2 linked regions of the Danio rerio genome follow. Each later gene encodes a partner of the first gene's protein in a complex. Links are inferred from orthologs where the notes say so. Each region holds a gene or a part of one and is shown on either strand. Other genes may lie near its edges.

What was found.
Region 2: polr1h (region 1) and polr1e share a complex: the UniProt entries of both Homo sapiens proteins name them as parts of the RNA polymerase I (Pol I) complex. The link is inferred for Danio rerio from reciprocal best matches to the Homo sapiens genes POLR1H and POLR1E.

The regions. Positions count from the first base shown.
Region 1 is NC_133194.1:29,750,741-29,753,732, forward strand, and holds the end of polr1h (DNA-directed RNA polymerase I subunit RPA12), read right to left. Parts: intron 2,110-2,992; coding exon 2,006-2,109; intron 1,909-2,005; coding exon 1,799-1,908; intron 674-1,798; coding exon 649-673; 3' UTR 534-648; downstream 1-533. UniProt on the Homo sapiens protein: Core component of RNA polymerase I (Pol I), a DNA-dependent RNA polymerase which synthesizes ribosomal RNA precursors using the four ribonucleoside triphosphates as substrates. Can mediate Pol I proofreading of the nascent RNA transcript.
Region 2 is NC_133176.1:21,148,055-21,151,815, forward strand, and holds the start of polr1e (DNA-directed RNA polymerase I subunit RPA49), read right to left. Parts: upstream 2,466-3,761; 5' UTR 2,431-2,465; coding exon 2,373-2,430; intron 2,151-2,372; coding exon 2,047-2,150; intron 1,934-2,046; coding exon 1,857-1,933; intron 1,776-1,856; coding exon 1,690-1,775; intron 1-1,689. UniProt on the Homo sapiens protein: Component of RNA polymerase I (Pol I), a DNA-dependent RNA polymerase which synthesizes ribosomal RNA precursors using the four ribonucleoside triphosphates as substrates.

The DNA of each region.
Region 1 (2,992 bases):
GGAGTCATATTGTTCACTATCTTTGACTGAGATGTTATAGTGCATCTACTTTGTTGGTTACACTAACGTAAACACACTGATATCAAAGGTAACAACAACAATATATTGAAATGAGCATTTAAGGAACAATAGATGCTTTAAATTCTTGCTGCCTTGAGTTCATGCCTAGAAAATGTATGTATCATATATCGTAGTCATTCTCGCTTTAAACTTAGATTTATTATACAGTCAATTTGCTTACCTTGTTTCACAGGCGCTAGGAAGCACTAAATAGTGCATAAAGTGATACACATCATTGTACTTCTTCATGAACAGTCATCTAGCCATTCAGCTCGGACAGTGTGAAGCCATGTTGTACGATCACGTGATCGCTGAAACATAAAGGCTGATTGGCTCACGCGTGTGGGAAGGGACTTTTCGGAAAACCGTATTTCTTTTACAAACTTTTATTTTTAAAATTATAAATAGTGTTTATTATGCATTCCTTATACTATATATAAAGAAAATTACATATTAGATATAAAAGACAAACATTCTTTTGATAATTTTTATTAACACTGAATAGTATGAATACAAACAAAACCTTTACATTATTTTATACAATTAAATTCTAGCAATCAATATAAGACAGCAGCAGCAACACATTTCTCATGAGTCTTCCTTTTCTTGGAACCTATAACAAAAAAAAGTAAAATATTAATACTATATAATACCCAAAAAAGACAGTCAGACAGTTGCAGCTTATTCAAAACCAGAAAATCAGAGCACATCTGTCCTCAGGTCTTTGCACTAGCTCCCAGTTACATTCATAATCGATTTAAAAGTAGCCTAAGACCTAACTGAATACAAACCTAACAGATCATTCAGATCATTAGAACCAAGTAAATAAGAAATCCCAAGTGTTCAGTCAAAGCGGGGTGAATCGGCCTTCGGCTATTAACCCTCCACAGCTGAAATCCGCTTCCAGAAACGGTCAGATGTGCTCCAACATTAGGCACATTCAAATCAAGACTGAAAACAGTTTAGCTGTGCCTTTACTGAATGAGCACTGTGCTATGTCCGACAGATCAAACCATTACGGCTTTCGTTTTCATTTTCATTCTTTAATAACCTGTTTTAAACACATTTGAATCAGCTTTTAATCATTTTTAAATCTTTTAAAGATTTTATTTTATGTCTTTTATTCTTGCTTATGTAAAGCACTTTGAATTACCATTGTGTGCGAAATATGCTATATAAATAAATTGTACTTGTATTAGTGCTAATTGGTTGAATTACAGATAGATAGTAAATAATAGTATATGTAGAAAACGTATTGTTTTTAAATGTAAATGTACTTACTCTAAAATTGTGAGAAAAATCAAGACCAACTATATAAACTGGTTGACTTTCAAATGACACTGACATCTCAAAAACTAGCTTTAACAAATAACGTTTAGTTTGGGTGCTGTACCAAACGTTTCCGCTTGATGAATTTAGTTTGCAATGCATTTATTTTTGATCGTGAACAACACAAGTGTGTCTGTAGTTCTCCAGAAAGGTTAAATTTTACAAACCATATCCAAGATTTTAAAGTCTTTGTTTACATAGCAAGTGCAAAAAGAGGCTTAATGTAAGTTTTTATTTATACCAATAAAGTTTAAAGTACAATAAAAATTATATATATATATATATATATATATATATATATATATATATATATATATATATATATATATATATATATATATATATAATTTGTCACTCTCTAAAATTTCAAAGGAGCACCAAGGGTTTATGAGCATGCTGTGTTAATTACCTGCAGTGAATACATGTGAAGAAAACAGTTTGCCCTTCATCTGCAGATCTCATCTGTCTTGTATGATAAACCATTCCCTCTTTATTACAGCGAGAACATTTCCTGTCAATCTAAGGAAAAGTTTTCAGAAGGTGAGAAAAAAGTGAAAAAGTTTACAAAGAGAATTAATGATATTTCAGACTCAATTACTCTTTTTTTGTAACATACCACTGGCCCCTTCAATTCAGCATCCTCTGCACTTTCAACAGCGACATTGCTCTGATCCAAAGGATTAAACATCACCGATGACTTGATCACTTGACTTGTGAAGTCTGAAAGAGAATCATACTACTGGGTTATAACCAGGGCCAGACGGAATCTGCGGACGTTTTTTGCTATTTCTGCTGAGAATTTTGGTAAAAATCTGCGGATTTCTGCGGAATTATTTTGGGAGTATCCAGCAGAGTATCATAGCTAAAACCTTAATATATTAAATAAAAAGTAAGTAATTACTCAATAAAAACTGAATAAATTTAGATTTACACATTTACTCAAGTAAATAAACAGAATTATGATGGGCTAATAATCTGCAGAAATCTGCGGAATTCTGTGGAAAATCTGCGGAATTCTGCGCAAGCAGATTCCGTGTGGGCATAACATAAACCTGCAAAGAAAAAGCACCTTCATCATTGACATAATGGACCCGTTTCAGTAAGGAGGTTCAACCAACTCGAACTTTAAACTTGAACTCTGAGTTGACTTACCAAGAGATTAAAAACTCAAGAGTTTTTAGTTTCAGAACAGCTGATCTGAGTTAGGTCAACCAAGTCTTGAGTGGACTGATTCAGAGTTAATGCTGTAGTCACACTAGAGTTTGAGCTTGCGAAATTCTGTTGTACAGGGCTGCACAAAAGGCCGAAATTAAACAAGATGATTGGATATTAAAAAAGCGAGTGACTGCTCCATGTTTTAAATTCCTGTACAGAGTTCACGTTTTGCTCTTCGATTGGTCTCTCACAATCATGTGATGCGATTTAGCAGGACAGAGTTCACCAAGCTTGAACTTTCCAACGCAGTGACACACGACCTTACGTTTCCGAAAAAAGTCTATGGGGAGAGAAGTCCAGCGTGACTGCAGCTTTATGCGTGCACACCACACAACTATAAAAAGGTATTATTAATGGAGCGCAGATATTACAAGTCCCCTTAGCAACA
Region 2 (3,761 bases), on another chromosome or scaffold:
CATAACTCACTTTCCTGGCTCCAAGGCTGTGTTAACATGGCGAGGCTTAGTGCACAAATCTGATTTTTTTCTCAGATCTGATTTATTTTTTTTGGCATAGCTGTTTACATTGTTGTTATTAATGTGGCCAATATCAGATTTGCAGTGTGAACAGATCTGCATGCGCAAAAGTACATTACGGACAGCACAAAATGTCTAATTTTGCACGAAATGTATGAAGTAAGCAAATTGTCAGATCATGCTTACATGATTATTGCCCTTTTCATATTTCATAAAATTTAAAGGATTGTTCTGCTACTACGAACGCGTATTACGGCATTTCAGACCTAAAATAAGTCACTTGTGATTTGAAAACACTGATCATTTGTGATCTATGACAACCGCGGTGCGTGTCTTTCTGACCACCGCTGTGGTAAACTCATCAAGGGTTAATGAGCAGTCGCAAACTGAACTGTGAAGGTGGAGTTGGTCTCTGTTTGCAGAGTTATTTTATTTTACTTCCTTATAAACAGCAGGCACGTGCTGAAGGGGGATTCGGGTGCTCGAGCACCTGCCCTTTTTTCTATTGGAAAGAAATTTCCCCCTTAAAATGAAAGTGCCCCCTCCTTAGTGTACGCATCGTTAACAAAACCAGTTTTGCCTTCAAAATCTTTTTTAAAATGAACAACCAATTTCTGTGGTAAAGTAATTGTCCTGTTCGTCATTCTACAATGCTGCTGAGGAATAGATGATGTTTGCAGCACAGATAATGATGCATTTCGCATTTGATAGTGGCACAAATCTGAACTATAAAGATGAGATTCCATGCAGTTTGGTCATTACTTGAGCCACATGTAAGCAAAAAAATCTGATCTGGGCCACATTTGGCTGCAGTGTGAACATAGCCCAAAACATTACTGTTGAATTGGAAAAGAAAATAGTGGAGCATTATATAGTATAAAGTGTGTTTTTCAGAGTACCCCCTCCATATATCTGCTATGGGTTTTATATATATATATATATATATATATATATATATATATATATATATATATATATATATATATATATACCATTTCAATATGATATCACTGGCCAATGAACATGTCCTGTCAAACTATTTCATAACTGTAACAAGAGGCATTTCAATGAAATCCCATCTTAACGTTAAAAACAGCTGTCATAACATTATCAATAGGTGGACCTTTTAGAAACTATGGAAACAAAAAATGTAAAACAGGAAATACATTTAAACCATAGTTATTGTTTACATCTCTCAAAAAAGTCTATACTGCATGTCTGTGAATATACTGGCAGCAGCAAGTCACAGAACTTGTTCCGCCATAGCAATCAAAGCAGCAGCTGCGTAGCAGATCTATGCCGCCAAGACCAAATACATCAACAATGCCAAATACATATATATTACCATACTAAACCTCTCAGAGCGCTGTCATGACAAAAATATTTGAATAGTATAAATATTCATGTTCACTATAAATGATAACCATTAACGATTATTACACAATATAATAATGTATGAGATATTATACTAACAGCACTCAGTAACATGGTAATACAAATAATATTACTAACGTTACAGACTTAGAGGCATGCAAACAATTTCACCCCCAAAAACGAGTAAAAGTTCCTTTGAACTCTAAGAACCCTAAACATTTATGTCCATAATATTTCAGATGTAAAACTGTTTACCTGGTATGACGGGCAGCATATTGAACAGCTGAGCACTATGAACTTTCATTTGCATAGTCTGCTTGTCAAGAACTCCCACAAAATACCTGTTGACAACATTTACACACCATTATTGAGAGGTTATTTAAGTGTTGCTCAGCAAATAAATAACAACGTGATGACCTCACTTGCACATATTATTAGACTGCAGCGATCCAGACCCAAAATTGCTCCCTACATAGGGAAGCCTATCTGAATCTGCAACCTGCATAGAAAAGATAAAGTTAGTTCCTAAAAGCACAAACAACACAATTGCTTCAATTTAGACTTTTTAAAGTTATAAAACAAACGCAGTTTCAGTAGGTATAAGTGTTTTACCACTATTCGTCTGTTTTTCTTTCTGGGATTTGATGCATTTGAGTGTTTGAAGACAGTAAAGTCCAGCTCCTCGGCATTTTTCACATTTCCATTAGAGAACTTAACTGTAATGACAAGAATAATGCTTTAAAATACAATGCGTGACAGTTTTAAAAACTATACTGTTAGACTGAGTGTACATTGTTTATTATTTGGTCGAGATGACCATATCCACGTGGGTGCGTTAAATACATAGAGGAAGAATAAGATTAGTTTATTACAGCTAACAAATAACAGCAATTATATATTATGTTACATTTATGATACTCTGGGTATTAAAACATTACCAATAAAAGTATTCTGTTCCGTTTCTTCACATGTTTTCCACGAACAGGTCGCCGCCATTATTACGGTTTCCTCGGCTGATATTAGCACGCGTTCCTGCACGAACAGCGACACCAATCGGTTTAAACAGTTTAAACAGAAACTTCCATTCAATTGTTCTGATATGATATTAATTGAATTTGCACAACTATTTTTAAAATTGAATAAATATGGATTAAAAGCCTTTCAAAATGTATTGTAAAAGCTTTTGAAAGTAGTCTATTTTGTTCTCCAAGGCTGAATTTGGTCTAAAATGCAAAATAAATGACAAAATAAATAAATAAAGGCCTAAACTGATGTTTAAACTGAAATAAATAAAAATAAAGTGAAGGAAATTTATTTTAAACTGATGATGGCAAATAAGTATTCTTAATTCTACAAGCTTTTTATATTGAATTTCATGTTAGGACTGAGCAATAAAACTATAATATTCATACACTAGTTTAGATTATGTCCAGAATAAGGTTTATGCTTGTAGACATGACTAAGTAATGCTGATTATTTACACCACACAGACAGTTTGTGCCCAACAGCACAAGTTTCTATGATTTATTTTACAATCAGATCAGACAGCACTGACATTCAATTTTATTAATGCAATGTCTGAGGCTCCTTCACCATGTTTTGCAGAGGGATCCTAAAAATAATCAACTCTGGTGTTTCTCAAATTTCTCTGAAACTACAGTTTCAACATAAAGATTTTAACATTTTATTGTAACTGCACTGTAAAACCCAATCATTTTGATAAACCCAATAAACCCAAAAAACTCTTTTGTGGCAAACCATTAAAGTTTTTAAACAAAATGTTGAGAGTACATTTTCTATTCGACTCAGTCCCTTTTTTAATCTGAGGTCAACACAGCAGAATGAACCGCCAACTTATCCAGCATATGTTTTACGCAGCAGATCCCCTTCCCGCTGCAACCCATCTCTAGGTCTCTCTCATACACTATGGACAATTTAGCCTACCCAATTCACCTGTACCGCATGTCTTAGGACTGTGGGGAAAACCACACGAACACAGGGAGAACATGCAAACTCCACACAGAAACGCCAACTAACCCAGCTGAGGCTCGAACCAGTACCCTTCTTGCTGTGAGGCGACAGCACTACCTACTGCGCCACTGCATCACGTCCGACAAATAAATATAGTTTATTTAAACCAAGACAAATCTATTTTCTAGCGTTTTGGAAAAGAAAAGAAGGCAGGAAATACACATGACAGCTTTGTAACATAATATTCATGAGGCACGCTTCCGTGACCGCCTACTAAATCTAACTCTGACCCAATCACGCAATACTAAAGTAAGATTGACATGTGACGTAATTAATATTCATGAGTGAAGCATTTC